Linked DNA regions of Lepisosteus oculatus. The protein of the gene in region 2 purifies or fractionates together with the protein of the main gene of each other region. This does not show direct contact. Links are inferred from orthologs where the notes say so. Each region holds a gene or a part of one and is shown on either strand. Other genes may lie near its edges.

The links. The genes of interacting proteins can lie anywhere in the genome.
Region 1: the proteins of sqstm1 (region 2) and nipsnap1 purify together in Homo sapiens (affinity purification with mass spectrometry; 4 studies listed by BioGRID and IntAct, with this or other methods). This does not show direct contact. The link is inferred for Lepisosteus oculatus from reciprocal best matches to the Homo sapiens genes SQSTM1 and NIPSNAP1.

What each region holds. Positions count from the first base shown.
Region 1 is NC_090717.1:4,644,339-4,655,801, reverse strand, and holds the start of nipsnap1 (protein NipSnap homolog 1), read right to left. Parts: upstream 4,332-11,463; 5' UTR 4,126-4,331; coding exon 4,043-4,125; intron 3,279-4,042; coding exon 3,160-3,278; intron 2,938-3,159; coding exon 2,892-2,937; intron 2,605-2,891; coding exon 2,510-2,604; intron 2,154-2,509; coding exon 2,083-2,153; intron 824-2,082; coding exon 683-823; intron 543-682; coding exon 511-542; intron 1-510. Other genes in the region: lrrc74b (leucine-rich repeat-containing protein 74B), read right to left, coding at 5,376-5,406, 5,789-5,874, 5,981-6,109, 6,891-7,013, 7,261-7,356, 7,651-7,729, 8,464-8,579, 8,769-8,878 and 5 more.
Region 2 is NC_090706.1:33,991,812-34,002,356, reverse strand, and holds the start of sqstm1 (sequestosome-1), read right to left. Parts: upstream 4,570-10,545; 5' UTR 4,294-4,569; coding exon 4,125-4,293; intron 2,943-4,124; coding exon 2,847-2,942; intron 2,470-2,846; coding exon 2,189-2,469; intron 1,650-2,188; coding exon 1,502-1,649; intron 889-1,501; coding exon 808-888; intron 661-807; coding exon 461-660; intron 261-460; coding exon 74-260; intron 1-73. UniProt on the Homo sapiens protein: Molecular adapter required for selective macroautophagy (aggrephagy) by acting as a bridge between polyubiquitinated proteins and autophagosomes.

The DNA.
Region 1 (11,463 bases), on a different chromosome or scaffold from region 2:
GAACATTTTCTGTAGGTTTTGGAGATGTGAACACTTCAGAATACACCCCTCACACACATTAGTACTAATTGCTCCTATACTGCAGAAATTCATGTACTGTACTTGGAAACAGAGTTTAACTGACATCCTAAATTTACATACAGTATAAAGTTTGAATTAAACTCTTCTATTATTTGCATTAGTTCTGTGGAACCTGGTGAGTTCTTAGTTTTTTTTTAAATCAGTTTTCTCTCCTTGCAATACTATGAAATTTTGTTTATATTAAAAGAAAACAAAGATTTCCTCTGAAGTTTAAAGCAGAAACTTTGAGATGCGCGAGTCAGGCAAAATACAGGAACACTGACGGGAAAGAATGTAAAAAGGTGCTGTAAATTGCATATTGTACAGCCATATGACTAGGTCGTGAGTTTGAACAGAATATTTTTTGTATCTGTGAAAGTCATTTTTCGTTATCACTCTGGATCTTGTTCATGAAAGGCAGCAGTAAATGTGTAAGAGAAAAGGGCTTACCAGTGATTTCCCCACTCAATCATTGTTCCAGGCTAGAAGATAAAATGAAGATACCGATAACATTAAACTACAGAAACTGCAAAAAAGAATGTGTGTATAGGCATTCCCAAGGGCTCGAATGATTAGAAAACTATTTTCAGTGTGATAAGCTGCTCAATAGACGGGACTCAACCTTCAGTTTGTAGGTACGCAGCTCATAGATATTGGGGCCTGCCCTGGAGAGCGGCTCATTCCAGAAGCTGAACTCCAGAAGCAGCTGGTTTCTGCGCGAGATCAGCATTTTACTCCTCTCCTTCCGGAACTCCAAGTACTCCTATAGGGATTCAGCAGATGGAATATCACAAGCAACCAAGAACCAGCTGTAAGAATTTTTCATACAGTACAGCACGCATGTACATCTTGTTCTATTCCAAAATAATTTCTACAATTAAATATGTGCATTCATTGGTGTGCAAAAAATCCTATTAAAATCTTATTAATGCAAACCCTTAATTCTACTGATATTTGAGCTAATTTGTTTTAAACTAACCAGCTTATCCTGATAGACCTGTATTTGGCACTACAAACAGTATGTTCGGATGTACAGTGGAAAACAAATACGTTAATGATAGGGAACAATGAATCAATTAGACTTGACTGATAGATACTGTATGATGGAATAGCTATTGCAACACTTTATATTGGATATTCACATTTACAATTGAACCACTGTGAGTTTTTTAAAAATCAATGTGAATTGAAAAATAAGTGACAAGCTTGGTTTCTTCTCATCTAAACTAAGCATTCAATGTGCTCAATAACATTCAATGTAATTTTCATAGAAGAAAACACTAATGAAGGCATCAGTACATTGCTGATGCTCATAACAATCACATATTTTAACTCTTGTCATCCAAGACACCAAAGACTTTTGCACAGCAGAGTAATTCAGAATGCATACACTTCACTATTTGACTTCTTTAACACTTTCTAAACATGACACGAGCATCATCACAGGAGCAAAACAAAATCACAAAAAAAAAAACCAAGGTTACTTTAGAAGACCAATGTTCCATTCACAAGAGATTCTTGACATTCTTTAAATCTACATGGACTGCCTAAATATCTTTAATCCACAGGAAGAGAGAATGTATACTATGTAACCTCATACAGTATGATAACTATTGCATATTGTTTACTTGGTGTTTTTAGTGCATTTTCTGGGGTGTGATGTATTTTTATAAATCCTTTCCAGAGAAGTGACAGTGAGCAAGCCTATTTATACACCTTGGGATCTTTAGTAGTTATGTATCAATTCATCCCTGAAGACAACTACCTAAAACTATTAATATTCAACTTTATGATGCTGTTTCTCCAATATCTGAATTGTTTCCAGTAAAGTCACCAAAACAGAGGTACCTGTATATACACGCTTAGCCAGAACCTCACCAATTAATTTGATTTAACTTTCTCTTACCTTTGTATGCAGTCAACACACCAACAACAGAAGAACCACATACAGTGACAAACAGAAACAAATATCAGTGACCATCAATTATAATATGAAGGAAAAAACAAGAACCAGTTCCATACCTTATCCTGCCACAACTTGTTTAAACATTCAGTCAAGGCTGGATAACCCCCAGAGTATCGCCAGAGGTGCACTGCAACAGCAGAACAGCACAGGTAACTATTGCTTTGTCCTACCACTGGAAAACAGCAGGGGTCGCTATTACTTACCCTTACCACTTGAAGAATACAAACACGGGTTTTTCACCCGTCTTTGTATTCTGTTTCAAGGAGAAACAGCAGATCAGCATATAACCATTTAATACCCACCTGAACTACTATAACCATACTGATCACGCAGAAAGCTACAAAAAAGGGTCCGTTTTACAACTTTGGTCAAGTGCCATAAATATGGATGGATAGTGAACATATGACAAATCTCCTACGCTTTTGTATAATACGTATGCCATGAGCTCAATGCAGTACTGAATGAGCTACAGAAAACACTTACCAGCTTGGTCTTGTTCCCCATACCAAGTGTTCCAGCTTCCCACTATCTCACAAGGATAGTCCTTGTCACAGTGCAGTCGGTTCTGAACCTCAGCTCTGCAGGCCACAGACAACAATGCCACAATTGACACTCGAACTCCTTCTATCACCGAAAGTGTGATCAGAGCAAGAAATACCTGAGTAAATCATACTGATAATAATCATGAAGTCATTGCTAATTACTGGTGGATTTTAAAAAATTAACTGCATAAGCTAAACCACAGTGGACCCTTCTGAAATGTATAAAATACACATTCACCACCATGAAGGTGACTCCATAATCCTCTGAAGTGATTAAACTAAGCGTGAATGAGTCAAAATATAAAATACAATGTACTACTTACGATAAGTTGTTATAGGCGTCTAGGTACTCTGGTTTCACATTGTGAACTGAAATAGGAAGGAAAAGAATCTGCTTAGTCACAAAGAGTTTGTAGTAGAGTCTGTTTGCATGGGTGCAGGGTGTATATTGTATATGAATGGTTGGGTTGTTGTTATTGAGAAATCCAGTGCACACAGTGCTTTACAGAATTTTAACAGTGGCATTATTCTGCATAAATTCAAAAACTACCTGAAGAAACAGCAGCACCATTTGAGGTCATCTGTACTCACACTGTATTTTGTACAGGTTGCTGGTCTCTTTTTTTGACAGCAGGTTGGAGTGGGCATCTTTCCTGGGATCAACTTTATGCACAAACAAAGACTGGAACCAGCTTTTGTCTGCAAGACCTCTATTAAATGGGGAGACGGATAAGGGGTGTAGGGTGAGAAACATATTGATAAACAATGTTTCAAGACAAACACCGATTTCTGATTTTGCCTGTCTCAGAGGCTTCAGTCAAAGGTATGTTTGCCAAGACGGCATGTTTCCAATAAGCAGCTCACAACAAATAAGTCTAATTGATTGCTGAGTATTGCCCACTTCAGATGTTTTTCAGCACTGGCTACTCCCTGTTCAGTACATCAACTGTAGTGGTCATGTGATAGCGCCTACTGCCCCGAGGGGCAAAGTTCAGGAACCAGGAAAACGATTGACTTAGACATTAGACCTTTCTCAATGTGTTTCATTTCCTCACATCTGCACGGAATAGTAATTTAGTGAGCTTTCGTGCTATTTCCTAGAACACCAACTACTAAATAGGAAAATGAAAAATGAATCGACTCCATTACGGTCAGAAACCATTTGTTTTGTTAACAACTGGTCAACAACATCATTCATTGTATTTTACAACCGGAGCGCCTGAACCCTTCCGATCAAAGAAGCTGCCATAATTAAAAATATCATACATTTTCTTTTTTTTTTCTTTTAGAAAACGTGTAACGTCCTGTCTAACGTCAGGACACGAGCATTTGCAATGCACCTGCAGGCACATCTTTCACCTTCGTTTCTAAGCACAAAACACTGCAGTGACAGGAGTCTATAAACAGCAGAATAAACATATATATTTAACAAAACCATGCTCTCTGTTAAACCTTGCAACTAGTTCGGCTTTACCTTTTAAAGATGAACAGCCCCAAAGTATTCTTACACAGTAATTGCTGGGGTTTGGGCAGTTTTAAAAACCACGTCGCCGCCATCTTCTAGTGTTTTAAAAACGCTGTGCTTTATTTAAAAGAAAAATACTGGCTGAAATTGCAGTGGTTTCTGGATGTGTCGCACGTGTAGATCCGTGTGTCACATTCACCCAAATCACTCGAGTTTAGTTCCTGCTCAAAGGTTGCACACGTTCAAGTGACGTGATCCTGAATATAACTAAGGAACAAAATATCTTCGCAACGGAGATCGATTCATTGACTCTAAAATAACAAGCCAATGGCTGTATGCCTGGCTCTTACAAACAACTGTTTTTTTATAATGTCCTATAATTATTGTTTTTTTCCCACTGTGTGTAATATAAACCTCTCTCTATGGTCTTTAATATACAATAATAAAAAATAAACAAGTTATGTAATCAAAATCAAAATAACACGTTCTATGAACAAAACAAATTATTAATACATTTACAGTGTGAATGATGCACACGAATGTATTTATTTCCGTCCTTAATCATACTGTATATTAATTAGTAAAAGTCTTTGTACTGCTACTAAATGTAAATACTGTTCTCTTATCATGCCAGTATGCATTATGTTTTTTAATTTGTCGTATACACGGGATAACTAAGAAAATTATGTTACTTAGATGTATGTTGGTCATTCTAATATTAACTAGTCCCACCCACAAATAATATTATCCATTACATTATCTTAATTTATTTTTAACAAAACCACATACCCTGCTCTAGGCTTACTTTTCTACCTTATCATTGTTAATATGAAACATCATGTACAGTATAATTTCTGTTGCACTATTGTTAACAAACTGCAACACCTCTGTGTTTTTGTGTTCGGCACCCAGACTTAACCATTCTGCTGTTTCCCCAATAACCTACAGTAAGTAAATAAGATGTGTTTTCCTAATGTACGTTAAGCTAATCATAAAGAGGAATAATATATACAGTATTCATATTAGAACTTGAAAGTGTTTTATTATCCTGTGTAAGGTTGAAAATAACTCACACTTTCAGATGAATCTGAAACAATTTATAATTTAATTTACTTATTCACTTCTTATGCTCTTATTGACTTATTCAATTCTGTTGCTTTTTTTGTGGGGACAAAACATTAAATCTGTTACAAACACATGCACCACTTGTGAAGGGACGAAAGAAGATTCAAACACAAGGAGACAAGGAGAAACAGTCAACATTGTGATCTTTTTATTATTCGTGCAAAATGCCAGAGCGGTCCAAGGTACCCACGATAATAGACAGATACAGTATGCGGTGTTAAGCTTTCTTCAGCAATGTGCTAAACTCTCTGAAAAACAGAAAAACAAAAACAGTTGTAAACTCACATCACTCTGGGGCTATTATAAAACTAAACCAGAGAACACAAGAAAAACAGAAAGGAAGGAGAAATCAGTTTCATTTCCTCACATCTGGATTATTTGTATTACCAAAAGAATATTGTTTTGTTTTTTGCCTCTATCTAATACTGTACACTATAGCAGTATATGGACAGCACATGGCTCTCAGACACATTCAAATACTACACAACATAAAAATGTTTTAGACTACACATCCTAACTAATCAGTATCTTCAGAAGGCTCATTAGCTTTCTTCATATTAATATATGCTTGTTCAAAAGTGTGCAGCTAAGACTCCTCTAAAAGGTGTTACAAAGATTATTTCAGTGTACCTGAAGTCAATCTCACCACAGTTGTCCTTATCAAGATCATCCATGAGTTGCTGCACTTCTTCCATGGTTAAACAGGTTCCTATCCCCTGCATCAAACAAAAAACACTCATGAGCTTTTGAGCAATGGCAATTTATATGGTAATAATGTTACACATTCCAGGTTTATGACAGAGGCGCTGTGCGTTTACTAACCTTGAGTCCCAGCTGAAACTCTGCTCTAGTGATGAGAGCACTTCCACCCTCTTCCACAGAGTCAAAAGAATCCTCAAGCTTCAAGTTGTTCTTTTTTATGTGATACTTCAGTTTTCCTAAGGGATCTTTCTAGAGGTGACAGGAGCACTTGAGGTTGGATATTGTTTGCTCATTCATTGCAGGTCCAGCAATCATCCATTGATTCGATTCTGTAGCTGCTATCGTTTAATACAGCCATATTTCTTGCAGTAATTTATGCATTGATGTGACAGTTTCTACAGTATGTTGTTTATGTCAGATCTTTTTGCAACTTCCCTCCTTGCACCCTATTCTTCTGGGACAGGTTACAGGTTGATCCTCGTTATGAATAAGCGGTTTTCTGATACTCTATTGCAGGGATGGATGGATGTTTTTGATGTAAAAATTTTAAAAAAGACAGATTTTTCTATCATTTCATCTACATATATCTCAAATCTATGCATGACTGTACAGGCAGTTGGAACACACACAAAAAAAATCTAACTAGCAAGTGGAGGTTAATTCCAAGTAGAAAGATATAGAACTATAACTCTAACACTAAGACTCAACAGCCGAAACATTGTGGTTTTTTCCTACTTTTCAGGATGAAATTAACCTTTAATTTTTCCTTGTCGGCTGATGACTGTATTTATTCGACAAAAACCATTGACCTATAATTATATACCGTTTTCATAGATTCGACAGGTGGTTTTATCTTCTGAGTATCATTCTTGCGCTAGAAGGGGGTCTGTTTTACCCTGTTACAAATAAAATTGCTTTATGCGTTTTTAGCAGTACAGATTAATATTCATATTCTGTTATAATATTCCCCGAGGTGGAGTGTTGTACAGTAGTTGCAGTCCGTCAACAAGCTGTTCGCTGAGCAACTTACTGGGACTTTAGATGTTTTGAAAGAAAAGCTGTCTGCATTTCTTTCGTGTTTCACCTGCAGGTTCGGAAACATTTCTTTGACTTTGTTGTACAATTCATCAAAATCCTTGTTCACGATGATGTCCTGAGAAAAAATATACACAGAACGTTGATTAGTATGCACACACCCATTCAAACAAGGACAGTAATAGTATAACAGCAAACTATTTTAATATGTAATATGTCTGTTATCCGTAACATTCTGTAGGATGTGTATTGTTTTGCATGAGGACGTGAAGAAAACAGTAACTGAGAGCAACAGTTGTGCCATCAACGAAAAGTAAATATATATGAATAATTCTAAAATCAAATTAAAGCCGAAGGTGTAGTACAGAGAAGTCCAGGGTCTCGATGGCAGATTCAGGGTTCCCTTCCATTGATTTTAGTATCCCATAACAGCCAGCACTCTGCATTGGATTTCGAGACATCTAGAAAAGAGAAAGGGAAAGAAATGTGCCTTTAATCCCTAAATAATCTTTATGGTAAAGTAGATATCTAAGATTTCTGTAGGGGGCCCATGTACTTAACGTCAGTCTATTCTTACTTTTCAAAACTGTACCTATAACTATAACTGTTGCTGAATTGTATAGAGGGTTATTTAAAAAGAAAATACAAATGGCTTGATATGTCAAGCTAAAATAACAGGTGTGTTATGTGCCCATATCTACTGTACGGGGGACACCGTAGGAATTATTTCAAAAGTAAGAGATTTCACATCTTACACTAAGGATCTTCAGTGTCTTGTTTTCTTTGAGTCCCATGGCAAAGCGCACTGCACCTTCAGGAGGGATCTGATTGTTACTAAAACAGATACATGCAAGAAAATGATAGCTTTGGAAACGGGAGCAAGACAAAATCTTTAAAGCAGGGGTTTCAACTTCAGTTCCCGGAGGGTTTGGTGTCATTATGTCGTCTTTTCGTAGTTTTCCAGCTCTTGTGTCGCACAGTCTGTCTAATTAATTAAATATGTAATTTTAATACTTTTATCTAGATCCGTAGGTGTTTTATCAGCAATTGCACACATAATGACATGAATGCTCTGAGTAATAAACAGTAAAACACCTCAGGAAAAATCCAATGGATTTGAAATAAGAAAATAATTAGATTGTTTCTTTAATTGGCTGCTCTGGCTGTGATAAAGATGCAAGACCCCTCAGGCACCTGTTTTAGAAACACGTTCTTTAAAACATAGAAACATGTTGTAGTATTTTATAACAAATTCAAATTCAACTACTGAGACATGCCTGTCCGCTTCAATTTTCACCAGAAAAAACACCTATTTACAGCATTTATTCCTAGGAGTTGCACAGGTATAAAACTTTCCATCTACACCGGATAGACATTTTCAAGCACACAGTTTTCTTCAGTAAGTTAATAATGTCAGTCGGTACTTAAAGACTTTACATGTTTCTTCATGCTATGCTAAAATCAGCAGAAAGAGGGAGACAAAAGTTAAGTTTACAGTGAAATACACTTTCATTGGATGGTGGGCATTCATCTGAGTTCAGACTCTACTTTCACATACTGTACTGTACCTGATGTTCAAATCTTCAAGCACATTGTTCACCTTAAGAGCTTCACCGAGAGCTGCAGCTCCATCTTTCCCAAATCCATTGTACGACAGGTCTAGCTTTCGAAGAAATATGTTTGCCTAAAATGAAAATATGATAGTCAAATAAGGTGTATTTATAAACTATTATGTTAGATGTAATATGTTTATTTTACAAAGTACTAAGATATAAAGACAAGTATGTAGTCTTATGCTTCCGCTCCCCAAAATATTTTCATCTGAGCTTTTTCAGAAATGGAAAGTTGCATTAAAACAGATAATGGACAGTACCCCTAAACCTTTTGCCACTGCTATTGAGCTCTTTCCCCGTAAACAGTTCCAGCTCAGATTGAGGGTCTTCAATCCAGTGTTCTCAGCAATAGCATTGCCCAGTGCCTCACCTGAAGAAACAAACACAAAACAGCAGATGAACTTCCCCAGTGACATCTGACATTTTGGTTTCTGGTTGATTTTGAAGAATCTTCTTTGAAAAAGAACGGGATAAATAATATTTAACATCTAATCAAAATAATATTAGTGGTTTGTACAAGTGAGCACATAAAAAAAACAAATAAAAGGAACAAACTGAAAGATAGCCTGTTATGTTGTCCAATAATCTGCAAAGCAACTTTCTTAAATGATGTTGCTATGCAGCTTAATTGTTTCCCAATTCAGTCCTCTCAATACATTTTTATTGGAAGAACAATAATGCTTTCATGGCATCTGTTTCTTGCTCACAAGTCTTAAAATGTTGCACAGAACACGTTTCATCTGAGCTCTGGGACAGTGTAAAATTTGTGTAACAGTCTTTACAGATGTTTGTATGCCATGTCACGCAGTGATCCAAAAGCAGTGGCAGAAACCCTCACTACTGTATGTGATTATGACAGTAATCCACTGTGCTACTAAGAAACAAAAGCCTGCCTTTTCCTTTCCTGCAGGTTCCTGTAGTTTACATATGTTTTAATGTTAAATTGTCTTGTAACGAGCATGTAGAAATGAATCTGTCTAACCTGTGCACTAATCATATATATATGGTTATAAACATAGTCATTTCCAACAACAATTAATGCTACTACCTACAGCACACTTAATTAAAAGGTGAGCATTGGTTCTGGTGTACAGATCACCACAGAGGGCACAGTAAGTAAGGAAAGTAAGGTGGTGCTTACACTTGTTCTTCAGCATTAAGTCGTAATCTAGGGCTCATTATTTGAGTCACGAAGCTGAAGGTTAAAAAATAACATCTTCTAATGTGGAAACATTACTGTCCTATTCATTTTCCCATGGCATTGTCGCGGGCAGTACCTGCGCCGTCTCCCATCATGTTGTGACTCAGGACCATGCTTTCCACTTTCTGATTGCTCACCAAGGCTTCAGCTAAGTGCTTGGCAGCGTGATCATCAAAGTCATTCCCAGAGAGGCTGATAGTGACCAAGGTGGTGTTCTCCAGGAGCATACTGGAAAGGGCTTGGGCACCTCTCTCTCCCAGTTTGTTCTCTGACAAATCGATTTCTGGCAAAGAAAGAATTTTGGGGGGAGAAGGATTAGCTAAAGCCCCCCTTCTCCAGTTAATGCCAATGTAATTCTTGCTGATGGCTCATACACTGAGCAGGTTTCATTTAAAAAACGCTTCTGATGAGACAGAACAGGATGGCAGAGCCCTTACAACCAGAACAGAACCTGTGATGTAGCAGTTTTCTTTCAGCATCTCTGCAATCGCAGCTCCGCCCAGCCCCTCAATCCAATTATCCCTCAGGTTCAACTTGAGGATGGATGTGTTGGTTACCAAGGGAACAGCAAGAGCTTTGGCACTCTAGAAAAGGACATTTTGAAAGTAAGTTCCTGTTTCTTAAGCCTGATATGTACTGTATTTGTTCGGAGAAAAAGAGCAAGTAATAAATTAAACAGACCTAGAGATTTATAAGAGATTCACCAGCTATACCTGTGGACCGAGGCCATGATGCATCATTATGAGCTCTGTATCATTCATGTGACGCAGGAAGTATGACACCGGAACCACACCAAAGACCTTGCAGGCAGCCTTGTAACATGAATGTCCAGTGGGATCATAAGGTTCCTTCATGTCTTCAATAAATCAAGAACACCTGAACTTATAATCATAGCACTGCAGTACCATTCTTCTTTTAAGTACTTCGATATGGGCACAGGTGATGTTTACTTATTTAATCATCCACTTACAGTATGACATAAAAAAATAACAAGGATTGTAATTACTATTGTGAAACTCACTCCACACAGTAAATAGTCAGGATGCATATCTATATTGCATAGTCCTGTATGTAGTGATCACATTACTTAACACACTGAAAATACCTTACAGGTGAAAGGCATTCCTTGAAGTTTATATGTGCGAGTTTTCACAGAAGCAGATTAGTTTTAATAAAGGAGGACAGTTAAACTCTAGCATCCACCTTTAAGCTATTTTTATTTTTGTGCCGTAAAGTCAGCAGAAAGTCAACAGTGGGTTGGATATGAGGGAGGTGGTACCTTCTAATTCCAAATCTGTGTCCCATTCCTCCTCTGCACTGACCGTCTCCTTTTCAGAGCTGTCAGCTGGTTTATTTTCCAGGGCATTGTCATCATCATCCTGCTCGCTGGGTACGTTTTCTTCTCTGCTCACCTCTGAACTCAGAGCTCTGCTCAGTGCGGGGGACTGACCTTTGCCTGCTCTTGAGACAGTCTACATGACAAAGAACACAATCACAGCATTAGCTGAATTGAAAACAGAGCCAAATAATGTCATATCAGGAAACTGCAGAGAGATGTTTACAGAGAAGTGTGTGTTTTACTTTAAACAAAACATAATAATCAGTAGGCTCATTAAAATAAATTTGACTGATCTGTTACTACTGATAAACTACACATGCTGTAGATTTAAATCTAGAAGGAACAAAAAAATCCATAATTCCTACCCACCTTGTTGTCAGTACTGCCTCGACTGAAGGCTTTTTGAGGTCTGCTG
Region 2 (10,545 bases):
TTTAGCTTTTGTAGTAAATACGTCCAGAATTAAGTTGGAGGATACATACACATGACCAACTCCAGCTATTTACCTTGGGGAAGATGTGGGTACAAGGCTGCCTCTCTCAGACCAGTAGGACCTTGTGCAGAAGCACTAAGGGGACTGGGCCCCGCAAATCCCTCCTCCAGCCTGAAGGACTGCAGCTCCCCTGTTGAGGGGTCAACTTCTTTTGGGGAGAGATGGGTCCACTCCTCATCACTGGTTGTTTCTTTTTGCCCCTATTGGATGTGAAAATTAAATTGGTAAATTAATTACTAATCAGTAGAAGAAACTACTCGGTTATTCAAACTGCCGCAACAGAAGAAGAAAAATAGCAGGATTTTGCATGAAGTCTCATTATCGGAATCGTGACCATGATCATTACATCTGTAACAGGTTTCTGGGGTGGAGACAGACGCATATGGTATAAAACCTGTACCTTTGCCCCACTGTTGGTGGCTTGCAGGTTACTTTGCCCATCAGTTGGCTGCTCACTGTCCATTGGTTCAACACCACTCGGCTGGCTGTCCTCTCTTATTTTTCCAGCCTGGGTACTGGACATGTCTCCAGAAGCAGGCTGGGTTGGGTTCACTTTGGTCCTTGATCCTCTGTGCTCCACATCAATGTCTACATCAATGCCTGCAGAGAACATTTGGACTGGTCAAAAGAAGGATTCGACATGTCCTTTGTTGTCATGTAGTATCAGTTAAGTGGACCATAGCTGTAATCATTCATAGCAGTGCTCTTTTTAGATTTAGCACATTCCTTATACAAAAACAGATTTACCCAGTGGACTCAGCATGGCTGCCACACCCTCCCCAATGTTTTTCAGATAATCCACACTATCCTGGTGCACAGAAGTTTGACCTGTAAAGAAAGACCACAATGATTTAAAGCAAATCCATTTTTAAGACCTGACAATTCAGTCTTTGGTTCTTCATTTTATAGAAAGCTGCATGGCTTAAAGACCATATGAAATCTTGCTTGTTCAAAGTTAAAAAAGTTTGGAAATATGAAGATAAGAAGATTGAGAAGTCGAGTCTATTTTTGAAGTAGGCATGAGCTAAGCAAGTTTGTCAAGCCCTCTACAGCTAGGGGGCACTCCTATTGTGTCCTGTTCCTAGTTTCCCTGTGCTTTGCTTGTCCTTCCGGTGTGTCTTTGTGTGGGGCTATATATTTCCGGGTCACCCTTTCCTCCTCACTCAGCATTGAGGGTTCGGATGTCTTGAGACCCACCTACCAATAGGTCATTTCCTCAGCAGCCTGAGGGCATAGGTTTCTACCCGACATCGTCTGACCTCCTGAGCCCGGGCTAACCCCAGTTTTGCCACTATGCATAGGGTCTCTTTTGCTCTTCTGGCCATTCCACAGCATGCCTTTTCCGACATCCGTGACAAAGCTACTTTTTGTTCATTAGCTTACATGAAGGCAGAAGAGTGGTAAAAAGGATGTGAGGAGCTGTAGGCTAGGGACTGCTTACCTGCTTCTTCCTGGGTGTTCTGCGGATCAGGCTGGGGCGTAGGCTGGGGCCCAGCCTGGCTGGCTTGGGGCCTGTTCTGGGCTCCAGCCCACATGCAGTGGGGGAAGCCATGTCTCATCTTGCGCATCCACTTCCCGCGCGGGTACCACTAGGGGGAAAAAAAAAAGATTAAACTACCGAACCAGGCCTAAGAGTGTACATTTTCTTTTTTTACACAAATTATATTGAGGTTTTACGAAACCCTCCAAACAGTTCACAAATACAAAACAGCAATATGAGGTTATGAAGAAAAAGCAGTTCAGACAATTTTGCAGTTTAGCCATACAGGCAGATCCAGTTAGAACCAGAGTAGAAAAGTGACATTTCAGGAAGGTTCGGCATAGTTTAGAACTGTAAAAAACAACTTCTGTCACACCAAGGGGGAAACATGCACATATAATGCATATAAAGCAGTTATATCATAGCACAAAACTTAATTAAACCTTGAATTTTGCTAAAACAAGTAATGGAACTATTTGAAACCCAGAAGAGGATATGCAGCTGTGCTAGTCATCTGGACTGAATAGTCATTGTCTAAAAACAGGGATAATGTTTTTGTAAAGGAACAGCCGTCATAATGTTGATCTAGAACAAACAAGGTTTCCAAGAAGTGTTCGGTTCCGATCATGGCTCAGCCAGGCGTCTTACTTCAAACATGTTTTGCAGGGGAGCCCAGATGGGAAGCATGGGGTGCTCCTTGTGCTGCCCCTTGGCCTGGCAGGATGAGCACAGGTCGTAGTCGGGGCAGACGGTGCACTTGAAGCGCGTCCCAGCCACTGGGCCCTCGCAGCCGTCGCAGGTCACGTTGGGGTGCACGGCGTTATGGGAGGGGGGAGGGGGAGGGGATTGGAAGGAGAAGGGGAAAGGGAAGGGGCGATCAGGACCCTGGAATCCATGGGGGTGAAAGTCCCGCTTGCACTCCTTCTTCTCTGTGGGGTGAAGGGGGGAAAAAAACCCACGGTCATGAGCACAGGAGATTTCTGATTATCTGTCCCTAAAAATGGATACTGCAGCATGTTTCACAGAAAAAGTGTGGCACAGGATACATGTCTATTTAACAGTTAAAAGCTAGGAGTGGAGCCACCACCTTTAAATTAATTCAATAAACATTGCCTACTTCCCCAATCGTTAAATTTCACATTACCTCCAAGTGGTAAAAGTATTCGTGTTCATGGATTTTGCTCAATATTAAAAAAAAAAAAACTGGCTTAGTTTTGTGACAGAGCAAACTTTGAAGTCATTGTTTAAACACATTTAGTCGGTCCCCTAAGAACTGTAAATGATTCACCCAGGGTAAACAACTTGCCTTTAATGAAGACTCGAAAAGTATCGTCCTTTATACAAGCAAGTCCCATCATCAGTTCATCATCAGAGGAGAAAGCAATCAAGTCGCCATCCTCATCTGTTGGGGAAAAAAAGTGTCAGTTAGCAGGGTTTAATTTACAGACAATTAGTCATTTACTCAGGGAACAAAAAGGAGATGCTATGGAAAGTTTTACCTTAACTGCAATCAAGCTCAACTGAAGTATTCCAGTCTCTACTAATGAGGTGTTTTCGACGTCTCGGTAACATTCCCACGAGCCTTACTGCTGTACTTAGGAGTTTCAGTAACGCATTTGGATTAAATAATGCATTGTTTTCATTGGGCAACAGGGCGTTAAGAACATGATCACCAAACTGACACATCAGACATTGGTCTTGACGAACCATGGGAGTGTTATTTAATACGGCTCGTATCAACTGCTGCTAAGGGGTATTCCTTAACATATCAAACAGAAAACCTTTGTTTTGTAAAACTTTAACGGGAGGGAAGCGATAGAATTTAGATGAAGTCATTTTGTGAACGTTCTCAATTCCATTCTTCCAGATATTAGGAAAAAAAACAACAATAAACCGACAATACACGGAAGTCTACCAAAGGAAAACGTTGATAAGCAGTGGGAATTGGATAGGACTGACAGTCCCATCTTACTGCGTGTACAGTAGACTGCAGAATACAATGAACCTATATCTCGGCGTCATGAAGTCACAGAACGATATTCAATGTTTAGTAGCCAAGGATTAACATCCGTTTTAAGTGTTAATTTTGTTTCTCTGTAGCTCATTAAGCGATAGCCCTTGCCATCACAGATATCTGTACCACATTATTCAGGTTACAGTAATTAATAACCCTTCTCTCTTCACCTGACGTATTAAAAATAACGACGTTAAAGCCGCTTCCAATGTCACGCGCAACGCGATTTTGTTACACAATCCAACAATAAGTCCATAAAACACTGATAAAGGTCAACGCAACAAACTGAAACATCCGACAATCTTGTAATAAATATCCTTGCCATTTTCTGCGAGTTCTAAAAGTGAGTGCGTCACAATGACTGCACAGCACAACCCACAATGTACAATTTGCATAACTCACTTTGCCATCAGGCTACATTATAAACAAAAGGCCCTCGTGATGTAACAAAGTAGCTTGCTTCTCCCAGCTGACCTATACAAATTCACAGCTGCACTTAGTAGCAAGTTTAATCGTGACATCTCATCAAACAGGTTGAAGTTCTCGTTTTTTTCCCCCAAAGTTTCTTACCTTTATAGTACATCTGGAAAGTGGCATTCCTGAGGCTTTGGAAAACCTCGGCCACTTTTCGAGTTAAGTACTCAAAGCTGCTGGACACTTCTTGATCGACGGCGAACCTGCGGATCTCCTTGTGGATATCCTCCTTCCCAAGGAGATAGGCTTTCACTGTCATCGACATGGTTACCTCTTCTTTTCGATCTTCACCTGACCAGCTCCGACGAGAACCCGTGAACCTTATTGCGCACTTGAATAAACCAGCTACTGTACTTCTGCAGCTTTCTAGTCTGCTGTGTTGTAGTTCCGCCTCCTTGCTAGTATTTATGCTGTACCCCAGCCAATCAGCATTTCTTCAGGGGTTGTGCATCCTAAAAAATTAAAAGGGTGTTGCTATGAGAATAGGGGGAAATCCAGCTGTCTGGTAAAAAAACGCACTTTTTTTCTTCGCGTTTACTAACAAGCCAGTCTTTAGCAAAGTAAACAGAATGGAGCCCTATTCAAAGTGGGTTGTTGAAGGTCGAAGAATGACAAAGCACTTTTTTACAGTGACATCCCAGCGCGGGAAAACAGAATGGAAATATCAGCTTCTGTAAAACAGAAAATATTCAGTATAAAAAAAAGGAACTGTAATACGAGAAAGAAATGATCCTACTACTGAGGTACATGCAATACATGAAAATACATGTTAGAATACGAGTTAAAAGCAAGACATGAGTGAATTATCAATTACATTAGTTATGTATCATCTAGTGGTTCTAAAAACTAAACTCAAGATTTTCGCGGGAACACAGAAAAGACTGGAAATATTAATTTCAGGGAGCAAAATTCAGAGCCAGTAATGTTTTTAATTTATAAATGGAAATACTTTTTTAGAATTGTATCAATTTCAGTATTAGAAACAACACTGGTTTGTACAGAAGTCAGTATAAAGCGGGCATCCCTGACGAAACCTATTTTCCTTCCACCTACATAAATGTTTTAGAAAGCCTGTTCAACTTCACTTGAAGGTACCTCGTTATCTTAAGAAATGTGACTTAAAGTAAATCATAACCAGTCATTTTCACTATGAGAGAGACTAGGGGGACCGTCTTCACATTATCTAATAACCTCTGTTTATCAGGCAAGATGGCAATCTGCAAGTCAGCATGAAGTAAGAGATCCACCTCAATGTCTTTCCTGCGCGTTGGCGAGGTACAGAACCTGCCACCCTCTCATGTTGAAGATGAGTCACTGGAAATTGGCACAAACTTGTGTTTTGGAACATTTTTGTTCAACACATATTGAACAGCCTTTTTAACAGCCGTGGCTGTGTGTATGTACTCTTCTATGAGTATCGGCTGTTTGCCTAGACTATGCAGGAGCCTTATCAAGGCCTGGCAGAATCGACAACTTTGTCTCACCGCGGGTTTCAAACTCAAGTACTGGAGGGCGAGAGAGAAGAAGCCGCACAGAAACCTGCCATCAGGTCCTGAGTTTGTAACCAGGTGGTGGACAACCCTGGCCCTAGTAATTAACCCCGTAGGTTTTTGAAGACGTGCAACACGTTTACGGTCAGATCAGTTTAACACGTTGCGTCAGTCAGGTTCTGTATTAGCTCATTCACCGCATGGAACTGTTCTGTGCAGCTTTTCAAGCAACAGTTACGGCGAATGAGCAGCAAATTAATTGGTGATGCCGAGTCAGAAATGACTGACTGTGGTCCTTGAGAGCTACAAAATGTTGGTGTTTTCTATTTCAAAAAATGAAATTACATTGTGGTGGCATGGTGGTTAGGACCACTTTTCTTACTGCTTTGGGTCTTAGGTTGGATTCCAGACAGGGGCATCTCCTCTATGGAGTATATATGCTCCTTTTCTGTTGTTGTTCTTCAGGTTCTCCATTTCTACCTTCTAAGGGCCTGTTGGCTAGGATAACTGGTTCGTGCAGTACAGTCTCACCTTGCACCTGGGATAGGCAACACAAAGATTCTGCCCCTTATAGAAAAAGGCATCTGCCTGATAATGGGTGATAACGGCTGAACACCTCACCTGCTACAGTAGTGAAAATTAACTTAATCCAACTTACTGGTTCAGAATTTGAGGATTTAAGATTGACCCATAAAACCTGATGAATTGTGCTTCGGGAAGCCAGTTCTGGTTTATAATTTCCAACCTGCAGTTGGGTTTAGTTTTCTTTTTTATTTGCTTATGGATCTTCCTTAAATTGAGAATAATAAAGTCCTGTGTAGAGAAACAAACAAGAGGTTGCATCAGGTAGCATAAAAGCATGTGATGCTGATAAGCTTATAAATCGGTTAACAAAGCTATACTATAAAATGCTGCATCACCATGAGAGCCTAGGCCTTGATTTGCCCCTTTACCTGAAAATGACGAAAGAGAGTGAAAGTTGCTATGAATTATTGTATGTCGCAATACCCCCCTTCGCCCCCCCCTCTCTTCCCCCTCCTGAAGGAGTAACGTCACCTGACTATGACTCATCCGAATCATATGATTCTATTGCTATTCTCTTGTATCGCGTTTCCACCAGGACCTCCTATGAATCACTAAAGAAAAGATCACGAAAGTTCCAGAAGTTCATGCCAAACGACTTGTCATTGTCTCCTCTTTACTCCTATAAAGCAACGCAGTGTAAATTCAAGGCAGAGGTACTGTTGTCAAATGAAACAATGTCTAGACGCTAATATACAGCATTACAACATAAAAGTATTAGAATATGATGGCATTTAAATACAGCTTATTTGTTGTCATCCTTTCGGATTTAAATAAAAGAATCAAGGTTCCTTACATGAGTGTATGTCATTGACGTAGTAAAATCCATTATTGATAATCACAGTAATTTAGCTGTCGTATTTACCCAAAGCAATTTACAAAAAAGAATTCCAATTTGTACAAAGAAGATTCAAAATTTCATCTATACCTTCAGAAGTACAATATAGTGATGTAATAAAGGTAAAATTACAATAGAGGACTACAAAATACAGGTACAATATAAGACACAGACTGAGTGACACAGGAGCACATTGTTTTCAGCCCTGGAACAGAGAGAACTATCCCTGTGTCTGCTTCTTTCTGAGCTCTTTCTTAATCAAGTTTATTGAACTGTTTTAGCAGTTTCTGCTCTTTAATAGGATGGGGTTAGAAGTTAGCTTGAATCCTGTGCCAGATACTGAATTTTCCTGCGCTATATAAGTGTAAGCAATTATTATTATTATTATTATTATTATTATTATTATTATTATTATTATTATTATTCTACATACTGTATATCAGACAAGAAGCGCTAATAAACAGCAACAGTGCACATAGAGCTAGGAATTCAGGTTAAGCAAAAAGGCAGCCCTAGGAAAGAGGCTGTACAAATACTGGGCGGTTCTGGTTTTAATTGACTGCTAGCAACTTACTTTTAAAAGAGACCTTAAAACCTCAGTACTGCAGACTCATTTTTCTTTTTCCACCTTAGTTATTGGTATGTTTATTGACTTCTCTTTTTAGTTTTGTCTTTTATGTGAAGCATATTGAAGTTCGCTGTAATGTAGTGTGTTATGTAAATTAAATGCATTGTTAACAACAACAACAGCAACAACAATAATAATTCATGCTCTAATGACCAGCTAGTGCAGTTCCTGCATCACTTCACCAACTTCCACCAGTCCCTCAAATATACAGTTAACATATCTTCCATCACTCTTCCATTTCTAGACATAAACCTATCCATTACCCATCACCGACTCTCTGCTTTGGTCTATTGCAAACCCACAGATTCACACAGCTATCTCCTGTATGGCTCATTTCACGCTTTCTTTTCCTGGCTGTGACGTCACTCCGTGACGTACAAAACAGCAAAGTCACGACTAGATCTTTCAGCTGTGATCTTTTGATCAGTTGACCCCAGACTTTGCAGCCTTTACACGAATAAACTGTCTTACATTTAGGGAGGAGTTAGTTCATTGGGTTAGGTGTTTTCTTTTAATTTTTAACCATGTTCTCGAAAATGTATTGCTTGTGTACTCCATGCATTGGTGAAGAGACCCCAGTTTCCATATTACCGCTGGTACAACACGAGAGCCCATATTCACATTTTTAGGTATTAGTTTCAAGATCGATATAATTTAACAATAAAAAACAAAATTTGAAGCACGAGCATAATAATATAATGATCATAGGCTTTACATCTCTATTCATTTTTAAGTACAAAGCAGGAGGTGTTTCCCCTACCTTAAATACACGATCAAATTGTACAAATACGATGTATTCATTACAGAAAGCAGCGGAGACAGTTATATTGCAAATACAAATGTATTTATTTCGAAGAGCACGGGACATTGTGAATCAATAAAGGCGTTAAAAACCAAGCCGATGTAGTTACTTTGCAAATAAGTAAAGCATTTTAAAAATAGATTCTCATTGACAGTAAACAAGCCGATCCACCTGGCGCTGCTTCCTTGAACAGCTCTCAGACCCGTGATTGGCTAAACCCCCGAACAGCTCGGGCCGCGATTGGGTGAAGAGTGAGAATCGACACTCTGATTGGGTAAAGCGCCACCTGGAAGTACCGAGAACATGCAGATACACAGGTGATGGAGGTTCTTCTTGGTCCCAAATACTGTAGTCGTGCTTAACCGTGTGTGCTCTATGAGCACGCTGGATATACAGTAAGACATTCATTGGTTTCCAATAACTTATCAATCTAAGAGAAGTCGCACTGAGGTCAAAACTGAATAGCAGACAAAGAATGTCATGGCATTCACAGCGCGTTCACGACTCCAATAGCATGTCACGATAAGAGTGCTCGCATCACGATTACATCGCGATACCCATCACTGTCACGGTGCCACAGTCGCGACATTAAGTCCATATATCGCGATAGGACATACCCCGACAAAACGCCCCTGCCCCATGTCACGACATGGAGTCCATATATCGCGATATGAAAAATACACCCCGCCCCATGTCGCGACATGGAGCCCGCATATCGCGATATGGCGTACCCTGGCAAAAATGCCCCCACCCCATGTCGCGACATGAAAGGCCCTATATCGCGATATGACATACCCCCGAAAAAAAGCCCCGCCCACATGTCGCGACATGGAGCCCGCATATCGCGATATGACAAAACACCCCCCGCCCCATGTCGCGACATGGAGCCCTCATATCGCGATATGGCGTACCCTGGCAAAAATGCCCTGTCCCATGTCACGACATGGAGTCCATATGTTGCAATAGGATACACCCTGGCAAGATATGTTGAACCCATGTCGCTACACAAGTCCATATATCGCGACACGACCTGTCTGGGTATATCATGTCCTGATATGAGACCTTTGTTGCGACAGCGGTGCCAGGGTGGCATGGAAGCAAGGCGCCAGTCGTGATATACACTGCCGCAATATAAATGGGGTCCCTATCATAACTTGTCGCGATGGTATCCCACAGCTATGGGCTTGGCAACAGCGTGTCACGGTAGGGAAAGAAAAGGAAAACGTGCCTTAGAAAATAAAAACCATATATCTTACAATCACGGTGATTTTACATACATTACAAACACAGGTTTATGTCACAGATGGTTAACGTGTTGGCATGCGTCATGTCTTAGTATTGTAGCGCTACGGGGTTCACGTGGGTATGCGCCCTCGCCGCTGCCGCCTGACGTCACCGCGCTGGTAAGCCGGCTCTCACAGCCGATGGTGGCCGTATGCGTTACAATAGTATTAAATGCATCGCCCCAAGGGTAATATCGAGTGAGGCGCCATGAGAATAAAAACTGCGAAGGTATTAAAATATTAAGTTTATGCATTCCAAAACTTGTAATTTGTTTACAGTTGAAATTTTACGACCTCTTCGTGCTTAACTCCTACAGTTCGAGCAGGTATCGAGCTGCTACAAACACGTGCGTGTTCTAGAAACACTTGTATTTGGTAAGCCAGGCTGTACTCCTTAAAACCCAAGATGCCTGTAGCATTTCGTGTGTCTTGTTTGTTTCGGGACTGGTCTGGTCATCTACAGACGGCTTTCTGAAAAACGTATATGCATTTGTTACCCAAAAACCTAGCGCTAGATAGCTCTAAGAGCGTCTGAAGTTTAAAAAAAGGAAATTATGGACACTTCTTCAACGATATGAGTGGCATTTGTTTTGCGTGCGCTTAATAACATGTTTGAGCAAATGGACATTGATAAAATGGAACATTCGGGCTAATGCAGAATCTTTCTTATAAATAATTTCTGGTTTTACGTAAATTTAAATAATCGAATACATTTTAAAAGCTTGATAGATTCTCTAATTTAATACTGAGATTGCAGGATTATATGGAAAAATCCAAATTGCGAAGGGGTATCCTGCTAACAAATGTACGCGCACACGGCGGTGACAGTAGCTGAAATGTAGTGAGCGTCCTGGGGAATCATTCGGGTGGGGCTACACATTGGTGGTTAAGAAG